2 linked regions of the Callithrix jacchus genome follow. The protein of the gene in region 1 interacts with the protein of each later gene in a biochemical or structural test. Links are inferred from orthologs where the notes say so. Each region holds a gene or a part of one and is shown on either strand. Other genes may lie near its edges.

Region 1 (10,896 bases):
CTCATAAAATTGGTTAAATAAACCATGCAGGTATCACCATTATAGTTTGAAAGACCATGCTCTAGAGGAGACCAATTTCTTGGTACTCATGAGAAGAAAAAAATATTTGTGTTTTTCCCAATTTTGTACTGCTTATTTTAACGTAAGTTTTGAATTGTCTCAAAATTCACACTAGCTTTTTGAGTTTGATTGCCCAGAGTAGCAGCACTCCCTCATTTGCTACTTTATTTTTTTCTTCTCCATCCCCATTTCAGAAGACAAAATAGGGAGAAGAGAAGCTTGACTATTTAACTAGTTTTCATAGGGGGCGGGGGAGGAAGTAACACTGCAGAATCCAGAGTTTCCAGGCCATGCTGACTGATGCTCTGGCCTCAAACAGAATTGGAAGGCTTCTGTTTTGGATTCCTAGAAATTGTATAAGGGTCATGTCTCTTCATTCATGGTCATCTTTTCTTTCCTGGGCAGCTTGCTCTGAGAGCAGGCAATGAAAAGGAGGAAGGAGAAACAGCAGACACTGTGGGTTGCTGCTCACTTCGTGTGGAGCACATCAATCTACACCCAGAGTTGGATGGTCAGGAATACGTGGTAGAGTTTGACTTCCTTGGAAAGGACTCCATCAGATACTACAACAAGGTCCCTGTTGAGAAACGTGTAAGTTAATTTAGCCTGTATTGTCTGGCTTGTTTTTCATTATTCAACAAGCATTGCTTGAGTGCTTTGTGTCCTCTGCAGTTTGCTGGGTACCAGCAAAAGTGACTTGAGACAGGCATTGTAGCACATGCCTGTAGTCCCAGCTACTTAGAAGACTGAGACAGGAGAATCACTGGAGACCAAAAGTTTGAGGCTATAGTGTGCTCTGATCACACCTGTGAATATCCATTGTACTCCAGCCTGGCCAACAGAGTGAGACCCTGCCTCTAAAATTAAAATAAATAAATGACTTGAAAGAGGGGAGAGGTAATATTTGATGTCTTGTGTACCTCCTTTTAGTCACTGTCCCACCCTGTATTACCTTTCTGATAAGGACATTTGTCACTTGGCATCTTTACTTAGCCTCTCTCCAACTCCTGACTGAGTGAAAGGTTAATCTGTTAGTCCCCAGATCCCACCACTGAAGAGGGTGCTAGAGCTCCATAGTCCCAACCTGATCTTTTCCAAAGTATTGGGCTGGAACCAGAGACCTGTAGTGTGCAGGATACTAATAATCCAGCCCAGCAGCAGTCTCAGATTTAATCAGTAATTAGACTTTGCTGGCCGTGGAAGAGTACTCTATTAGATGCTAAAGCGATTTGACAATTAAATGTAATGCCTGACCTCAGATTGGATTCTATACTGATGAAGTAAAGGGCATCATCAGATAAAGTGACAAAATTGGATTGTGGACAGTAGATTAGATAACAGTAGGTATCAATGTAAATTTTTGAAGCTGATAAATACTGTGTAAATGTAAGGGTATATCTATTTTTACAATGTACAAACTGAAATATTTAGGGTTAAAGGACTGTATGATAAGTAAGTACTTATAAATGGCCCAGAGCAAATAATTATGTATATATATCTGTAAATATACATGCGGAGAGAGTGAGCATACATGTGCCCTGTGCAAATGATGAATGAGGTAAAAGGTTAACAGTGAATCTGGGTGAAGGATGTATGCATGTTCCTGTGCCTTTTTTTTCTTTGCAAGTTTCTGTAAGTTTGGGATTATTTCTAATGTAAGGATTTTTTTAAAAGAGTAATAATTGGGATTCACTTATTTCTTTTAGGTTTTTAAGAACTTACAACTATTTATGGAGAACAAGCAGCCTGAGGATGATCTTTTTGATAGACTCAATGTGAGTAGACAAAGCACACTGGGTTGAAGGGATTCCCAGCCAGAACCTCAAGGGGAGGGTTGCTGGCAGATAACGGGCTCTTCCTTTAGCCTGGCCTGCTCTGTGGCATCCTGTATACTCTCTCTTCCTCCCTCCAAGCCCACGGTGAATCTGTGGCCAAGAGAAGACACATCTGCTGTAGAACAAATGCTAAGGCCCTCAAGGTGAGAGTAGATGAACCCTACCTTTTATCCCTTCCCTGCTCCTGCAGAGCTTTCCCTTCACTGAATGCCCAGCCATCCCTACTGGAGACCCAAAACCTGTGCCTGAGATCTTGATAGGGAAGGACAAATTTGCTTTATTGGTCTGTTAAGATCAAAATACTGGGCCAGGCTTGGTTGCTTACGCCTGTTATCCCAGCACTTTGGGAGGCCAAGTAGGGCAGATCCCTTGAGGTCAGGAGTTTGAGACCAGCCTGGGTAACATGGCAAAATCATTATCTAGGCGTGGTGGTCCATGCCTATAGTCCCAGCTACTTAGGAGCATCAGGAGGATTTCATGAGCCCAGGAGGTGACGGCTGCAGTGAACCGAGATTGCACCACTGCACTCCAGGCTGGGTGTCAGAATGAGACCCTGACATACGTACACACACATGCACACTGAAATACTTCATAGAGAGGCATTATGTAACCCTGTATTCTGGAATTCTTTTCCTAACTTCTCACTTGTAGGGAAATAAACTTGACACGATTGTGACTGCACTGGTATAAATTACTCCTAGGGCTGCCAGAAGGAGCAGGTAGTACAGCTTTGACCTAAGTCTCTGTTACATTGTCTCCTCCAGACTGGTATTCTAAATAAGCATCTTCAGGATCTCATGGAGGGCTTAACAGCCAAGGTATTCCGTACATACAACGCCTCCATCACGCTACAACAGCAGTTAAAAGAACTCACAGCCCGTAAGTATTACTTGGCTGGACAGGGCCCACACCCCTACTCATGGTATCCGGTGTCCTTGCTTAGCTAAGTCCTAGAGTCAGTTCTACTTTTTTTTCCCTACCATTGTGATCAGACACTTTTCCTCTTTAGACCTCTAATAGTTAGCTAATGCTTAGTTGTATAAACTTAAGATCAGTGCTGTTTCCCCCTTCCCACCCCAACTTCAAGATTAATTTCATGGATTGCTGACAGCTTTTTACCTGCTATGAAAATACCTGCATTTGTGTTTTATTAATATATTACTTAAAAGCTCACAGAGTGAAGGCAGTGCTGTGATGTTCTGTTAAATTGAAGAGAGTAAAGTTGTCATGTTTATGAGAAAGATACAGGGATAAGTCCTTTCCCTAAAGTTTCTATCATTTTTTTTCCCTGTAAGAGAGTAGATACTTTCTATAGCCAATTTTTAGAATATTATCACCAAGATCACGGACTTTTTTTTTCCTGGAGCCCAGTCACTAATGAATTTCCACTGCCCTCTGTAAATACGTCAAATGGCCTTAGAATATGAACCAGAAAAGCCAGAGGTAGGTATGTTCAGGTCAGTGTTTTAAGGTGATAGAAAGAATGCGACACTGTTTATACAAGTAAAAACAATTTTTTTGGATGACATTTACAATTTTTCTTTTTAAATAATATACTACCAGGCCAGGTGCAGTGGCTCACACCTGTAATCCCAGCACTTGGGTAGCTGTGGCAGGAGACTTACTTGCACCCAGCAGTGTTCCAGACCAGCCTGGGCAACATAGTGAGACCTCATCTCTACAAAAATTTGTAAAAATTAGGCAGGTGTAGTGGTAGTCCCAGATACCTGGGAGGCTGAGTCCAGGAGTTTAGGGCTGCAATAGCCACAACCATACCACTGCATTCCAGCTTGGGTGACAGAGTAAGACCCAATCTCTAAAATAATAATAATCATAATAATACTACCACTCATAGCTTAAATTTTTTTAACTTTTAACATCTCTTCAGTTCCTCATTTTGTTCAGGCTACATTGGGTAGAGAGATAGGGAGGCAGGGAGGCAGGGAGTGGCCAGTATAGAACTTAATGAATATGGGCAACAAACCATAGTAATAATAGCAGCAGCACCTATGACAAGCATATGGGTAGGGAGGAAGCAAGGAGATGAAGGGTCCCTAGCCAAGTTCTCTGAGTAAAAAGAAAGGTGTAGATTTTATTATATTACCTCAGAGTTCCTCTTGTGATGGGAATTTACCCAGGCCAAGCTTACATATTAACTTCCTATTTTCTTATGACTGTTGGCTCAAATTTTGATCTTAGGCGTTGGAGGCAAGTTGAATTACCTGAGTAAGATAAGGGCCAGTAAGATCATGGGGAGGAGGCACTACTGTGTGTTCACTGTTGGCATACAAACTGACCCTCTTGCTACCATGTTCCTTTCTTTACAGCGGATGAGAACATCCCAGCGAAGATCCTTTCTTATAACCGTGCCAATCGAGCTGTTGCAATTCTTTGTAACCATCAGAGGGCACCACCAAAAACTTTTGAGAAGTCTATGATGAACTTGCAATCTAAGGTATCTTGGATGAAATGAAGGGAACTTCATGATTTGCTGTGGGCAGATCATCTGCAAATGAGAGGTTTTGGGGCTTAGATATCAATATGCAGGCCAGTTCTGGGTCTGTTCTTGAAGGTCCATGCTAAAGATAAACACATGGAAATACACTAGTAATCTCTGATCAAAATACTGAGTATCAGAGTACCATTGTTCAAGAAATCTTAATTCTACAGACAGAAGTTCTATACTGGCCACTTCCTATTTTGAAAAGCTAACTTTGATGCACATTCTAATTGCTAATTACTGTTCTTATTATACATGAGGAAAATGGATTTAAAGCGAGTCTTCACAATTCCTTGCCACAGCCCCCAGAAATACAGCTATTTCCAAATTAGATTGTTTCAAATTGAAAGGATGATGAAACAATTATATATTTAAAGTGTTTCCAATCCTAGCATAGCTATTTTTATTTTTATGCATTCCACATGAATCATATTTTTATATATCATCAAACATCTGTTGAAAACTGACACGCCAGACAAGTTGCTGCTCTAGAGGGAAAGACTGATGTGCAAATAGGTGATGTTCCTAGTCCATGAGCCTCCTTCCTCCTCCTAACTCTTCCTGGTACTGAGTGTTTAAACCGTAAGGCAGTTAACATTTGATAATGAGCATTTTTGTGTTAGCAATGACTTCATAACTAATTCATCCTAATTTGGTGGCCCACAGTGAAAATGTGCGGCTATTTCATTACAGAACAGATACACAGGGTTAAAAAGGAAACCAATTATATTGAAATACAGTTATCAAAATATATTTTAAAGTCCAATATAGTAATAGTTATGCTTCCTATTAAGGTCTTGAGGTGGCCGAAATAAATTTCAAGGTAGTAATTAATGAATATAAATGATAATTTAAGATTTCTACAGCAATTCAAATATGAAGTGTGAAAATGTCTATAACATCTGATGATAAAGTCGTAGGTGCTGCCGCTATTACTATGGTTTGTTGCCCATATTCATAACTGAAGAAGAAATATCAAAATTCAGCTAGAGGCTGGGTGCAGTGGCTCACACCTGTAATCTCAACACTTTGGGAAGTTAAGGTGGAAGGATCACTTAAGCTAAGGAATTCAAGAACAGCCTAGGCAACATAGTGAGACCCTGTCACTATTAATATTTTTTAAAAATACAAATAAATTTCAAATTGGGGTTAACGATATTATAGAAGTAATTTTTTTCTCAGCTGGGCACGGTGGCTCACGCCTGTAATCCCAGCACTTTGGGAGGCCAAGGCGGGTGGATCACGAAGTCAAGAGATGGAGACCATCCTGGTCAACATGGTGAAACCCCGTCTCTACTAAAAATACAAAAAATTAGCTGGGCATAGTGGCGCGTGCCTGTAATCCCAGCTGCTCAGGAGGCTGAGGCAGGAGAATTGCCTGAACCCAGGAGGCAGAGGTTGCGGTGAGCCGAGATCGTGCCATTGCACTCCAGCCTGGGTAAGCAAGAGCGAAACTCCATCTCACAAAAAAAATAAAAAAATTTCTCATCAAGTTTATGGAATTCTATACTTGTACAGCTGGAGTTTAAGAACTACTACTATGGAATAAGACTGCATTTTAAGGCCCAGAATGTTTTTCATTTGTTGAGATTTCCTTAAGATAAATACCCATGAGTAGTACAGCTGGGTCAAAAGGTATACACAACCATTAGTTTATGCTAAAGATGCCATCTGGCTTTCTTGAAGGGATGTACATGTCCATATTGAATGAATATACATCCATAGACCTCTTGAGTCTTTGGATCATATGGTTGGCAGGCAAAGTACCCTATAGATAGACCACCCATCCTAGCAGCTCACATTTGCTGCCACTTTATTAAATGCTGGTCATCTGGAATTGTTTATTCTTCTCGTGTTATATTCCAAGCCAGAAATAAAAGCATGAATATTCAGGTGCTGTTTACCTAATTCAGGAAGACCCCTCCCAGGAGCATGAGGAGGTCTTTTGTTGCTCTCACTCTGGAACCACTGTTTGGGTAGCCCAGGCTGCCTGCCAGACGAGGCCTCCAAGCCCAGGATTCCTCTCCTGTGTGCCCACAAAGCAAACACACGCCCCTGTTTGCCAAGTGAATCAATGGAGTCTTTGATGCTTTGAGAGAATTTGACATAGCCTGCCAATTTAGCATTCACAGAAATGGTTAAAAGATTGTGGTTTGCTGCATTTCTAGCCTAAAAAGAATCTGGCTAGTGGTGTCTGTGATGCTTTTGTATATAGAATCAGTCCCCTCAGTTTGGCTTTGGACAACATAGATATTGGAAGTAAGCCATTCATAGTAAAACATATTCAATGATTCTCACAATGGTGGCCTCTGTTTCCAATCTCAGGCTGTGTGTATCTAACAAACAATTCTAGTCTCAGTGAGCAGCCCAGTGTGTGTCAGACATGTTATTTACTCTGTGGAGGTTGTCTTAACCTCACAGATCAGCTAGATGATCATTTGTGTGGGGTTCTTCTGACCCCACCCCCCCACCCCCCCCAGCAGTGTGAGCTCACTGACAGGGGCTCTAGCTCCATGTTGTTGCCCACTGCTGTCTCTAAGGAGGAATCTAAGAAGAACTTAGATTCACCAGGGGGCTTCAAGGATTCTAACAAACAAGAAAGGCTGAAACTGCCCATGTCTCTTCCCTCATAGATATGGATCCCACAAGATTTCACTTGGGGGAGAAAAAGCTCCACAGCTAAAAGTATTTTCACATCCATTGAGTGACAACTAAGGTCCTTTCCACCTCGGACCTCTCCCCTTTAAAAACAGAATGTCAAAACCAGGCCCTGCCATGTCCTGGTTTGGGACAGACTGGCTGAGCTGTTTGGCTTCCTGGGTACCTTTTAATTGCCAGTTTTTAGCCCCTTGGGTACTCTGTTCAGTGCATCCGTTTTCCTTGAGAAGCCGGCACCCCCTTCCCAGAGTACTGGTGGGATCTGAGGAATGAGCTGGGGTTGCCCAGTCGATGCAAGTATCCTGCCTCAGCTTCCTAGAGAGTAGCTCCTACAGTATTCTTGGAATGAAAGCTAAAAACTGGAACAGGATCTATTTGATAAACAGCTGTCATTTGTAGCCCCCCTCCAGATGACTAATGGCAGAGTGTTCTCTGATGGAAATATCAACACTCAGATTCCCAGCCCCAGCAGGTTCCTTTTCCTCAACCCCGCAGGTTACTGCCCTATTGAACCCTTGTTTCTCAGAGGATCACTGAAGAACAAATAGTTGAATTCAGTAGTCCTTGTGCATCTTCTCTCTACCTTCATGAAGCCACCCTTGGTGTTTTTATATGACCATCCACTGAGAGAGACAGCCTGATGGAGATAACATCTAGGTTTCACTTCTGATGGAGCCATTTTTTTTCTCTACAGCTTCTAACCTTACCACTATTATTTCCCCTAGATTGATGCCAAGAAGGAACAGCTAGCAGACGCCCGAAGGGACCTGAAAAGTGCTAAGGCTGATGCCAAGGTCATGAAGGATGCAAAGACCAAGAAGTATGTACTTGGTATTGTGAAAGTCGGGGGCTGGTAGAGAAAAGTTTGCGTAGCATCTGTCAGAGGCCCTGGGGTTCCAGCTTTTCTATGGTTTCTGAGTGATAGCTTTTTTTTTTTTTTTTTTTTTTTTTTGGAGACGGAGTTTTGCTTTTGTTACCCAGGCTGTGGAGTGTATGACACGATCTTGGTTCACCGCAACCTCCACCTCCTGGGTTCAGGCAATTCTCCTGCCTCAGCCTCCTGAATAGCTGGGATTACAGGCACACGCCACCATGCCCAGCTAATTTTTTTTTTTTTTTGTATTTTCATTAGAGACGGGGTTTCACTCTGTTGACCAGGATGGTCTCGATCTCCTGACCTTGTGATCCACCCGCCTCGGCCTCCCAAAGTGCTGGTCTGAGTGATATCTTTTGGAAATCTCTGTACTTGGGCTTTTATTGACGCTAAGTGGCAGGATGGGTACAGTGTGCTTTTGTCTTGAGCCCAGGCCTGGTTCTTGAGGACTCTGCTATTCTTCTAGGGTAGTAGAGTCAAAGAAGAAGGCTGTGCAGAGACTGGAGGAACAGTTGATGAAACTAGAAGTTCAAGCCACAGACCGAGAGGAAAATAAACAGATTGCCTTGGGAACCTCCAAACTCAATTATCTGGATCCTAGGATCACAGTGGCTTGGTAAGTGTTGAGCCCTCTTGAGCTCCTACTGTTAGCTTGAGAAAGGTGGAGGGGGTTTCGAGGGCACTGGTGGCCTTCACATGCCATTCCTAAGTTGTACACTTCTAGTCCTATGGGGAAACTTCTCGCTTCAGCTGTGTACAGGGTACTCTGGTTGCTGAACTTTGTCTGTAAATGCATTGCAACATCCTGGATGGTCCTAAATGATGGTCAGTGCTGTCATACTGCCTTGTAGTGTATGTTATGCTTTTAAGAGGCAGGTGCTATCCCTATTCCTTATGGAATTTTAGGACAGGAATGGAAACTCAGCCTCTGGAAAAATAGGAAAGAGCCCATATATCTATACCCTTCAATAGAACTTTTCGTTAATTTTTTTGCAGTTGAAGGTAGGAACAAGAGATAAAAACAAAGATGAGAATACAAACAGAGAGGTAGAGGGACCTATAACAAAGGCATATAAATATTGGGGTCTCTGTGTGTCACACTGGAAACAAGTGGCTTTGTTTTGGAAGATGTTGAGTTTGCCCTGTTAAGTTCCAGGCATAGGTGGAGATATCCTCCCCTAGGGCACTTGCTAGTCCAGGCCAAAGGTTCCACATAGCTCTTTTGTACCTCTTTCTGCTCATTTTGCCTTGTTTGGTGTTAGAGGTGTGATTAGTTCTTGAAAGGCTATATAGTATAGTGGTTAATAATACAGAGAAAAACTGTTTGGGTTCAAATTTCAGGTCACATATCAGCTAGCTGTGTGAGAAAATAAGTAAATTACCTAACGTCTCCGCCTCAGTGTCTTCATCTGGCCCTTTTTCACTTGTACATCTGCAGAATCACCTACTTTAGAGATCACCGTCAAGATTAAATGAGTTGATCACATGAAACCCTTAGAACATGGTTGGTGCACCATTAATTTGCATTCTCACTAGACAGATGTGAAAGAGAAGATGGCACATGAGACCCCAGGCCTCAGATCTGGGCCATTGCTGAGTCACACTAATCCTCCTTATTTCTCCTTTATTTGCAGGTGCAAGAAGTGGGGTGTCCCAATTGAGAAGATTTACAACAAAACCCAGAGGGAAAAGTTTGCCTGGGCCATTGACATGGCTGATGAAGACTACGAGTTTTAGCCAGTCTCAAGGGGCAGAGTTCTGTGAAAAGAACAGTGTGGTTTGGGAAAGATGGATAAACTGAGCCTCGCTTGCCCTCGTTTCCGGGGGAGAGAGGCAGCAAGTCTTAACAAACCAACATCTTTGCGAAAAGATAAACCTGGAGATATTATAAGGGAGAGCTGAGCCAGTTGTCCTATGGACAACTTATTTAAAAATATTTCAGATATCAAAATTCTAGCTGTATGATTTGTTTTGAATTTTGTTTTTATTTTCAAGAGGGAAAGTGGATGGGAATTTGTCAGCGTTCTACAAGGCAAATTCACTGTTTCACTGAAATGTTTGGATTCTCTTAGCTACTGTATGCAAAGTCCGATTATATTGGTGCGTTTTTACAGTTAGGGTTTTGCAATAACTTCTATATTTTAATAGAAATAAATTCCTAAACTCCCTCCCCTCTCCCCCATTTCAGGAATTTAAAATTAAATAGAAAAAAAAAACCCAGCGCACCTGTTAGAGTCGTCACTCTTTATTGTCATGGGGATCAATTTTCATTAAACTTGAAGCAGTCGTGGCATTGGCAGTGTTTTGGTTCAGACACCTGTTCACAGAAAAGCATGATGGGAAAATATTTCCTGACTTGAGTGTTCCTTTTTAAATGTGAATTTTTATTTCTTTTTAATTATTTTAAAATATTTAAACCTTTTTCTTGATCTTAAAGATCGTGTAGATTGGGGTTGGGGAGGGATGACGGGCGAGTGAGTTTAAGGATAATGAAATAATCAGTGACTGAAACCATTTTCCCATCATCCTTTGTTCTGAGCATTCGCTGTACCCTTTAAGATAGCCATCTTTTTCTTTTTAACCCTAATCTTTCACTTGAAAGATTTTATTGTATAAAAAGTTCCACAGGTCAATAAATTCAGAGGAAAATGAGTATTTGGTCCAAAAAAAAGGAAAAATAATCAAGATTTTAGGGCTTTTATTTTTTCTTTTGTAATTGTGTAAAAAATGGAAAAAACAAAAAGCAGAATTTTAATGTGAAGACATTTTTTGCTATAATCATTAGTTTTAGAAGCATTGTTAGTTTAGTGTGTGTGCAGAGTCCATTTCCCACATCTTTCCTCAAGTATCTTCTATTTTTATCATGAATTCCCTTTTAATCAACTGTAGGTTATTTAAAATAAATTCCTACAACTTAACGGAAACTTAAGTGTCCGCCTCTTTGTTACGAAGGGCCTCAGGGCAGAGTT
Region 2 (10,996 bases), on another chromosome or scaffold:
TTTGCAAGAGTTTTATCAGCTCTGGTTGAAGGTGACATTTTTTGAGAGATGCAGGAACCAGGGGGGTGATAGTGTGAGGGGCTAACGGAACATTTAAGGGGTTTTTTTTTTTGAGACAGTCTCAATCTGTAGCCCAGGCTGGAACACAGTGACGTGAACTTGGCTCGCTGCAACCTTTGCCTCCCAGGTTCAAGTGATTCTCCTGTCTCAGTCTCTGGAGTAGGTGGGATTACAAGTGTGCGCCACCACACTTGGCTACTTTTTGTATTTTTAGTGGAGACAGGGTTTTAACATGTTGGCCAGGCTGGTCTTGAACACCTGACCTCAGGTGATCCATTGCCTTGGTCTCTCAAAGTGCTGGGATTACACGTGACCCACCACAGCTGGCCAAAAGGGGAATTTTTAAAGACGGATTGCGGTGGTCTGTGTTCCCTTTAAGGTATTCAAGAAATGTAAGTAAATACTTGGTTGTTTTTTTATGCGAAAGATATTCATCGGCTGGAGTAGGTGATTATTTAATTTTTAAAAATGTTCATAGACTCGGGGGTACAAGTGCAGTTGTGTTGCATGGATCTGTTGCACAGTGGTGAAGTCTGAGCTTTTAGTATCCATTGCCTGAACAGTAAACACTGGACCCAATCAGTCATTTTCATCACTCTCCTCCCACCCTCCAACCTTTCGGAGCCTCCAGTGTCTCTTCCTCTACTCTGTAGGTCCATAGACACCCGTCATTTAGCTCCCATTTTGAATGAGAACATGCAGTTTCTGACTTTCTGTCTCTGAGTCATTTCACTTATGATAATGGCTTCTAGCTCCATCCATGTTGCTGCAGAAGACCATCAGATTTATTTGTGATGGCTACGTATGTCTTCCATGGTGTATATGTACCACATTTTAAAATCTGATGCTCTGTTAATGGGCATGTAGGCTCAACCCACGATGTTGCTATTGTGAATAGTGGAGCAGTTGATTATTAAACTGAAGAGAGAAAAGGACTTCCTCTCCTCATGACTTAACAGGAAGGAAGGCCAATGCCTTTATAAAAGGATGACCGTCACCAGCTACTGGGTAGGCTGAGGCTATTGATCGCCATAGGTTGTCATGGGTGTGTCAGGAGGACAAGGACAAGAGGATATGGTAATTATAAATGTAAATTATAAATTATAAATCTAAGTTATGCAGCATGTAGTTTTTAGGAAGCTGAAAATCACACAGATACATCTAATAAAGACATGGTTACTTTATTTTCAAAACACTCATATGTTGCAAAAAAATACATGGAAAAATAGTTTCAAGGGGGTGCTGACTAACTTCCGGTCACAGACTTTTATGTTACAGCTTGGAGCAGGGTTTGTTATGAATATAGAGAACCCAAACTAATTTATTAAGCAGGATAGAAACGGGCTGTCTGGTTCTGAGAACCATCCTGTTCACCTGTTAGATACGGAGGGACTAGCTCTTCAGATGTTTTTCAACCAGTTCAGAGATGGGTTAATGACTAGTTCCAACGGGGAACAAGCAAGGTGGGTTCACAAACCAAATGATTTTAAACCAAGATACTTTTTTTGCAGCACAACATACATCACAGTGAAACGTGTAATCCTTGCAGGTCTCAAGCTGAAATAATTAAATTCAGAGGACGGGAGAGAGAGTACAACAGGGACTGAGCACTAAACATATTTTTAGAGAAATGCACAAAGTAGAAAGCGACCCTGCCTTCGTGCTGTGTAGTGCTCTGGTGGGTGTTGGCAGCATGTGGCATTGAACATTTCAATGTGGATCCCCAGCCACAGAAAATGGGGTGAAATTGGCCAACTTTCTGTCAACTTATGTTGGCAATTTTGCCACCAACAGTAAATTTACCCCTTTAATGAAAGAAAATTGAAACGTTTCTCACTAAACAGAATTAAGTAGTGGAATCAAGAGACTTCCAGGCATAGCGTACCTCATTGGTAATTGTTTTGTTGTTTTATTTTTTCTGATGTCTCCTCCCCTCTGCCAGGTCACCTGAGATAACAGAATGAAAATGGTGGGATAGCCAGATTTCTCCTTTGCTCTCTGCTCATTCTCTCTGAAGTCTAGGTCACCCATACTGGGGACCCATTATAGGCATTAAACACAGTCCCCAAAGCGTTTAGACAGTTCCTTGTGTTTTGAAACAGGTTTTCTTTTTCTTAGTCTTTTCATGCCAAAGGCTCAGTCCCTTGCTTGCTCAGTGGACTGGGCTCCCCAAGGCGTAGGCTGCCTTCTTTTCCAAGTCCCACCCATGAGCCCTCCACTGGACAGCTCAGTGAGCCTGGCCCTTCCTTCTGTGCTGTGTTCTTCCTTCTCTATGAAAATCCAATACCTCTTACCTCCTCTACATGCGAGGATTCCCAATAATTGTCATACTCCGAACATAACAACAGAATCCCCAGAAGGTCCTATAAATGCAGCAGTGACCTTCTTGAGCTTTCAGGTCTTTAAACAGGATTGGGATTTAATGCTGCATATTTTTAAAGGAAAGAAGAGTTGCTAATTTTAAAAATGCATCTCTTTTAGCTAATTCAGAATCTGTTCCCCAGCTTTTTAAAAAAACTCAGGACAGATAAAGATTTGGCGGGCAGGGGAGAAAGAAAGAGCAGTTCTCAGGCCGATAAATGAGGCATATGTTAGGTGTGGCCAGACTAAAAGTTTGGACTAAAATGAAGCCTGTTAGTGAGTAATTGCTGCAAAAAAAGGAACAAAAAATTTAAAGAGGAGGGAAGGAAGAATGATGCTGTCTCTCAGGATTCAGTATATATGATAGCCTGGAAAATCCGGGAAACTTCTCATTCTAAATTCTCCAACCCAGGGGAAAAAAGTTGAGAAGAGGCCTTTCTGCTAATAAAAAATGCAACAGCCCCTAGCAGCAGTGTGAAGACCCTCCTTAGGCCCCTGTCTTGGACATGTGAAGATTCTCTGGCAAGGACCCACCACCTGCAGTGGAGTTCTGTTTATACAGCTTGTCTTAAAATCACAGCGAGTGTGTCTTGTTCTATTTGGGCCACCCTGTAAATACTCAAGTTGGCATAACATTTTAAAAGGAATAAGAAGGAATAAGAAGAAGCTGGTATTTCATCTCCTCCCACCCATCTCCCTCTCCCACGAAAATATGTGCTGAGCATGAGGGCGTTCTCTTGGAGACCTTCTATTTGCCCCTCTCTTTTACAGGGACAGAGAGAGAGCCTTGGCCAACAGGAGGCTTCTGGACTTAAGTTGAATTCAGTGGGTGACATCCTCATCCTGGTTGTCCTTTCTCCCTTTAGGTTTGCTCCTTCAGAGCTGATATTCAGTGACACAGGAGGATGGAGATGGAAAACAGCATCCTCAGGTGTACAGCTCATCCAAAATCATACAATGTGCTGGAAATAGCACTTGATTTTCCCTCTTTCCCCTTCAAGCAGGTAGCCAGAAGCAAAATATGGCCTACAGTGTGCACTGGGGGAATGAATGAGATATTAAAACTGCCACTGTCTGTGTTTTCATTGTCCCACCAGTGAAGAATCTGAGATTGCCAGGCAAATCTCCCACAGCTTTGGTGCGCACACCTGTCACACCCTGAGCTTGGCCCCTTGTGCTTTTCCGAGAGACACCCGGGGGAAGGCAGTTTTTGATCATACGTGGGTGTCACCTGAGGTGGCATTACCAAAAAGCTGGGCTCCAGCTGCCCACACAGTACAGGTATGGGTAGTAAGGATAGCTGTTATACACGGAGACCAGGGAGGCCCTGGAGAAGGCCTCCTCTTTCAGGGCGGACGAAGAGGCGCGCTTCTCCAAGTCTCCCAGCTCCGAGGAGAGCTGCTTCCGCTTGGTCTTATAGCGTCTGTTCTGGAACCATATTTTCACTTGGGTCTCTGTGAGCTTGAGGTTCTTGGCCAGGTGAGCCCGTTCAGGGGCCGACAGGTACTTCTGATGGCTGAACTTCCTCTCCAACTCGATTACCTGAGTGTGAGAGAAAGCAGCCCGGGAGCGCTTCTGCGGCTGCTTCGGGGTTTGGGGGAGGCTTGGAAGGGCGCCTGAAGTGTTTTCACAGTCCAACAGATAAGACCCCAAGTGCCTATCTGGAAAGGAAAGCGGGGAAGGAGGGAGGGAAGACAAAAGTAACATGTTAGCAGGGAAGAGACCAGAATTCAATCAACCCTTATCTCTTTAGTGAGTGAACAAACAGCCCACTGTCATCGTGGATACATTTCACTTTTTTCACAAGACAGACTAAGCAGCTCTCCCGAGGGAAGAGTGAGTAAATATGTTTATTAGGTATTCATTTTCGAAGAATCAGCAAGAATCCAAAGTTAGAGGCGTTTCGTGGTTGAACTTTCTCCCTAGTGTCTGGTAGAATTAAATGAGGATTCTGGATCTGTGTGCTGAGGAGAGGAGGGAGAGGGAGGCAGGGAAGACGCCGAGGAACCAAATACCCGGGAAGGCCGGACCAAAAGGCATCCGGTGTTAGGATCTAGGTGGGCAAGAGAGGGCTTGTGCCTCGGGAGAGGCAGAGGCAGGCTCATTCAGGGCTTTAATTCCCTCTTCGGTAAACGCGGCGTTGAGTGGTCGCATCAGAAGTGGCAGGAAAGAAAATCAGTGGACTCTGTCTCCTGGACACCAGAGGGAACCCCAATGTACCACTTTACTGCCCACAGGATTGGGAAGCACACGGTCTTTGCTGGGCAACCCCTGCTTTGTCACTATTAATAAGTTATTATTAGTTCTCGTAACTACGGTGGGGCTGGCACCGATCGCGGGTGGCGCGGTGGGATCCGCTCCCGGGACGATGGAGGGCGGTTGCTCTGAGGTGTGCGCTGGGTTCTGAGCCCCAGGGAGCCTAGGGCATCAGTCTGGGTGAGCCCTGCGGTGTCAGAATCCTGTGCCGCCCTGACGCTGGGGCTCAGGGTTCATCCCCGGGGCGCACGCATGGCGGGGGGGGGGGGGTCGGGGAGATCCCTCCGTCTGTGGCCGCGGGGCCCCAAGTCTCTGCACCCCGAGCTCTAGGGGGTCCGCCTCGGGCAGCCCCTCAAGCCCCCGCCTCGCCGCTTACCTGCCTCGGTCTCTGGCGCGGCCGGGAGCCCAGAGCTCAGCTCCTTCTTCTGCGCCCCGGCACCGCCGCGTCCTCCCTCCGGCTCTGGCTCCGGGTCCCGCTGTAGCGGGGTACCCCTGTGGCCACCAGGCGGCTGCGCGCCGTCCCGCAGGATGTCCTGGATGAGGAAGGACGTGAGCGGCTTGGACGGGGTCGGCGGCGCTGCCCCCTCCGCTTCTGCCTCCCCTGGCCGCGGCTCTGGAGCCCTGAGCATCCCGGCGGCCCGGCTCCGGCCTGACTCCAGCTCGGCTGTGCCAGCCTGCCGCGCCCGTAACGCTTTCACTTTCCGCCGCCCAGTGCGCTTATAGCCTCGGGGAGCGCGCTGCGCCGCCTTCCCATTGGCCATGGGACGGGTCGCGCCTCGGATTGGCCGCCCAGCGCTCCAGGTGACTCCGCAGAGCATCGAGTCCTGGGCGCCGCAGGGCTCCACTCCTTTCTAGGTGATTCCTTCCCCAATTCCCACTCCTTTCCCAGCTCTCCTCCCTCCTCCCTGAGCCGTTTTCCCAGGCCGGGAGGGAGTGCACACCAAAGTGGGACTCCTCTGCCCCACCCACCCGCAACAGAAGTTGAGACGCTCTTGGGGATGGGATGACCAAGACAAACACTCCAGTTAGCTCTTCAGGACCGTCAGAGCCAATCACAGGGTGTGAGGGCGCAGTCACTGCCGCCGCATAGTACCGTGAGAGTTCTGGGAGCTGTCTCTCTCAGAGAGATGGTGGCAAACAGATCTGCAATATCTGCCGTCTCAAAGAGGCATGACGAGTAGGTGAAGCCTGACCCCAGCCTGAGAGAAAGAAACCACCTTTGCCAAAGCCTTTCCCCAAGTGGGTTTCTTTGGCCTTTCCTTTATCCGCAATAAGCTATTAACTTTCCTTCTGCCCTAGACAGATGACATACCATCCTTTTGAAAAACTTCCAGACAGGTGGAAGGCGTTTCAGACCAGGACAGACACAAAAACTGCATTCAAAAAATAGTTCAAAAGAACATCAGCATACACTTTTTCCAGATTACCAACTGTTAACATTTAATCCATTGGCTAAACAATGGGTTAGCCAAATTGGACCAACCAGGACTGTGATTGGACTGGATGGTACCATGACAATGGATGAAGGTGGAACAGAGATGCTAGAAGTATTTTCTTTGCTCTTCCCTTTTTACGGACAGGGTGTTGCTCTGCCACCCAGGCTGCAGCGCAGTGATGCCATCATAGCTCACCGAAGCCTCAATCTCCTGGATTCAAGCGATCCTCCTGCCTTGGCCTCCCCACAGGTGTGAGTCAATTTGGGCCCATGATGGAAGTACTGAATGAATGTTAAATTTACTGAAGTTGCGCACTGTACTGTCAGTGTATCAGAGAATACTTTTAGGAAATAAACACTGAAGTACGTAGGAGCGAAGGCACAAGTTCTATGAAACTTACATCAAATGGTTCTGAAACAAGCATGCAGATTGATAGATCCCACTCAGCAAAGCCAGTAGGTTAAGTGGTAACGGTAATCTGGAAAAAGGGTAGGCTGATTTTTTTGAACTATTTTTTTTAATGCAACTTTTAAGTCTGTCCTGGTCTAAGATGCCTTCCATTTGACTGGAAACTTTTCGAAAGGTTGGTATGTCATGTGTCTCTGGAGGAAGCAAAGTTGATGGATTATTGCTGATAACGTGACTGCAGAAAACTACCTGTGCAGTGGGCAAGGCTTTGGCAAAGCTGGTTCTCTTCTCTCATCTTTTCAGTCTCTTTATATTCGAACATTTTAAAAAATGTTTTCTTTTGAATCATTGTAGATTCACAGGAAGTTGCAAAAATAATACTTCCAGTGTCTTCTTATATAACTGTAGGACAATATAAAAACAGAAAATTTACACTGGAACATTACAGTTAACTACACTACAGACCTCATTTTATTTATTTATTTAGAGACAGGGTCTTGCTCTGTTGTCTAGGCTGGAGTGCAGTGGAGAGATCATGGCTCACTGCAACTTGGATCTCCTGGGCTCGAGAGATTCTCCCACCTCAACTTCCTGAATAGCTGGGACTACAGGTGGATGCCACCATGCCCAGCTAATTTTTGTATTTTTTGTAAAGATGAGGTTTCACCTTGTTGACTAGGCTGGTCTCAAAGCCTGGGCTCAAAGAATACTTCCCCCTCGACCTCCCAAAGTGCTGCGACTACAGATGCGAGCTACTGTGCCTGGCCTTATTGTGGTTTAATTTTTAAATTTGTATTTCACAAATGGTTAGGGATGTTGAATATCTTGTCATGTGCTTGTTTGCCATCTGTATTTCCTCTTTGATGAAATATCTGTTCAAGCCTTTTGATCATGTTATAACGGATTTTGTTTTAATTATTGAGTTGTGATAGTTCTTTATGTATTGCCGTATGTAAGTCTTTGTTGGGTAGGTGGTTTGCAAATATTATCACCCGGTCTGTAGCTTGTGTTTTCATCCCTTTAACAGGATCTTCAATGGAACAAAAGTTTAATTTCATTGAAGATAAATTTTTGATTTTTGAATTTTGCAAATAATGATTTTGATGTCATGCCTAAGAACTCTTTGCTTACTCCTAATACTGAAGATTGCTCCTATGTTATCTTCTAAAAGTTTCATGCTTTACTCTTAAATCCATGATTCAGTCTGAATTAATTTTTGTGTACAGTATGAGGTTTAGCTTGAGATGGCCTCCTTTCATTTTTAAAATTGAGAGCTGGGTATGAATTATTTAATAACAAGTACTGCCATTTGGAAATTATAAAGTTCTATTCTTATGACAAAATAAATTCCAGACAGCTCAAAAATGTAAAACACAAACAAGCATGCGAAAAAAATATTTTAACTACACTTCATCACTAAAGAAATGCAAATCAGAATCACATCAAGACAAGCCTTTTCCACCTTTCAGATGGACAAAGGTTTAAAAAATGGATAATGTCCAGTGTCAGTGAGAGTGTGGACAGACAGGTGCTTCACACAGTCATGCACGGCATGAAGGTGTTTGGTCAGTGACAGACAGCATGTATGATGGTGGTTCCATAAGGTTACAATGCTGTATTTTTACTGTAGCTTTTTATGTTTAGATGCACAAATTCTTACCATTGTGTTACCTTTGCCTGTAGTATTCAGTACAGTAACATGCTGTACAGGTGTGTAGCCTAGGAGCAATAGGGCATACACCATGTAGCCTAGGTGTATAGTAGACTATATCCATCTAAGTTTGTGTAAGTAGCTCTATGATGTTTGCATAACAACGAAATTGCCTAACAATGCATCTCTCAGAACATATTCTTGTTCCTTAGGATGCATGACTGTTTTTGGATGGCACCTTGGCCATATTTGTCAAAATTAAAACTGAGCATATCCTTTGACACAGCTATTCCGTGTTTGGTGATTTGCCCTAGAAATGCACAAATACACGATGTATTGACTTGGGAACATATATTCAATTTGGTCAGAGACTGGTTCAAGCTGCAAAATATGTTGTAGACTAAACCCATTGTATAACATAGCATTATAAGTTATCTATATAATGTTCTACATTTGAACACTTTTACATGCAGAATATATCAGGAACAAGATATACACATATATATTCTTTTTTTCCATAGAGTAGTTATTTCTGCTCAGTGAGATGGAGAGATGGAGACAGTAGGTAGGTTGGGAGAGGGACAGGAGGAGAGTGGAACAGGGTGTATTTCCTTGTTCTCATTGATACTTAAAAAGAAAACTGTAAAGCTAGAGCTGAGCCTGAACTGCCCTCCTCCACTGTGCCCTCCGCAGGCCTGTGAGTGGGACCACAGCTCATGGTCCTCAGCCTCACTTCACTGCACCTTTCCTCCCCTTGTGCTTTGTATTTGGGGCTGTGGATGCTCGTCTTTATGAGACTGTGAGCTCCCTGAGAAGGGACTGTATCCTCCTCATATGTGTACCTGGCTTAGTTTTGACATACAGAAGTTGCTCCACAATGCTTTCTGGCTGAATGTCCAGCTCCAGTTGTTATGAGGTATCTCACTGGCTAGCAGAATGATCCTAAGGGGCCAAAGGACCTCCAGGCAAATCACAGTGGAAGGCTTGTCCTCCTCCCCTTGCTGTGTTTATGCAGCTTAAACTGGGTGAAAATGTGCAAGGCAATCTGGAGACACTCAGGGGCTGCAGCCCAGAACAATGCCCCATCCCAATGATGGCCAACCCCTAATCCCCAGATTCTGTGAATATGCTATGTCAAAAGACAGCAAAATTAATGCTGCAGATGGAATTAAGTTTACTGGGTTGCTGACCTTGAGATGGGAAGGTTATTCTGGATTATCCAGGTGGGCCTGTTGTAGTCACAGGGGTATGAGGCCGGAGAATCAGACTCAGACAAGCAGATGTGACAGTTGAAGGAAGGCTAGAAAGATTCAACTGTGCTGGGCGCAGTGGCTCACGCCTGTAATCCCAGCACTTTGGGAAGCTGAGATGGGCAGATTATGAGTTCAGGAGTTCAAGACCAGTCCGGTCAACATAGTGAAACCCCGTCTCTACTAAAAATACAAAACTTAGCAGAGCATGATGGTGTGCACCTGTAATCCCAGCTACTTGGGAGGCTGAGGCAGGAGAATCACTTGAACCCTGGAGAGGGAGGTTGTGATGAGCCAAGATCCTGCCACTGCACTCCAGCCTGGGCAACAGAGCAAGATTCCATCACAAAACACAAAAGAACAACCAAAAAAACCTCAACTGTGGGAAAGACTCAGCTAGCCCTTGCTGGCTTTAAGGGTGCATGGAGGTCAGGAGCCAACCGATGCAGGCGACAGGGAAAGAAAAGTGGATTCTCTTCTAGAGTGTCCAGAGAGAACACAGCCCTGATGACACCTTGATGTTAGCCCAGTAAGCCAGAGTGGGCTTCTGATCTCCAGAACTACAACATAATAAATGTGCATTGTTTCAAGCCACTAGCTTTGTGGTGATTTGCCACAGCAGCAGTGAGAAACTAATATAGGGGCACTGGCAAAAGAGCAGCAGTGATGAAGAAGGTGCTACCAGCTCGGCCTCAACTGTGCAGATGTGAACTTTGGATCCTTTTTTTCCTTTTAAGTTGAAATATCTGTTTATACCCATAATCCCATCCCTTCATTAAACTGTTTTCTTTGTGTATTTTCTTTCAGTCTTTGGCTATCTTTGATGGTAGGATAAATATAATTTTGTATCCTTTTTTCCTCCCAAATTCATATTGCATATAAACATTTTTACATTGCTCCATTACATGTTTTAGAAACCATCTAAGAGCTAGAAGGGACCCCAGGATTCTCTAAGTAAATGTCTTGCTTTTCTAGGAGGGAGCCTCAAGTCTGCAGAGACGACAGAACTATATCAAAGTTGAGTCCCCAAACCTCTAGGCCCGTCGATGTCTCCACTGCCTCACCCTCCATCCTTCCACCCACTCCACCTGCCTCCGCTGCTACCCACCAGCGTAGGAGCACAACCAGAGCCCGTAGACTCGGCCCCTATATGTGTGTTTGAAAATGTATCTGTGTTTTGTTTTAATCAGGTATGGTAAGACTCACAGACACAGAAGTGACTGTCATGAAGGAACAAGGTGTTTTTTATTTTCATTTTTTGAGACAGAGTTTTACTCTGTTGCCCAGGCTGGAGTGCAATGACATGATCTTGGCTCACCGCAATCCTCACCTCCTGGATTCAAGCGATTCTCCTGCCTCAGCCTCCTGAGTAGTGGAGGTTACAGGCACATGCCACCACACCCAGCTAATTTTTTTTTTTTAGTACTCCATGTTGGTTAGGCTGGTCTCGAACTCCTGACCTCAAGCAATCCCCCTGCCTCACCCTCCCTAAGTGTTGGGATTACAGGTGTGAGCCAGTAATAAACCCAGCCCAGAAGAAACTATTATACTCACAGACCCTAGAAGCAGGGGGC

Evidence for each region. The genes of interacting proteins can lie anywhere in the genome.
Region 2: the proteins of TOP1 (region 1) and NKX3-1 form a complex in vitro, tested with the Homo sapiens proteins (2 studies listed by BioGRID and IntAct). The link is inferred for Callithrix jacchus from reciprocal best matches to the Homo sapiens genes TOP1 and NKX3-1.

Annotation. Positions count from the first base shown.
Region 1 is NC_133506.1:36,461,563-36,472,458, forward strand, and holds the end of TOP1 (DNA topoisomerase 1), read left to right. Parts: intron 1-465; coding exon 466-651; intron 652-1,766; coding exon 1,767-1,835; intron 1,836-2,659; coding exon 2,660-2,774; intron 2,775-4,222; coding exon 4,223-4,350; intron 4,351-7,778; coding exon 7,779-7,873; intron 7,874-8,393; coding exon 8,394-8,543; intron 8,544-9,561; coding exon 9,562-9,664; 3' UTR 9,665-10,851; downstream 10,852-10,896. UniProt on the Homo sapiens protein: Releases the supercoiling and torsional tension of DNA introduced during the DNA replication and transcription by transiently cleaving and rejoining one strand of the DNA duplex.
Region 2 is NC_133514.1:17,798,922-17,809,917, reverse strand, and holds NKX3-1 (homeobox protein Nkx-3.1), read right to left. Parts: upstream 5,368-10,996; 5' UTR 5,307-5,367; coding exon 5,054-5,306; intron 4,083-5,053; coding exon 3,664-4,082; 3' UTR 1,225-3,663; downstream 1-1,224.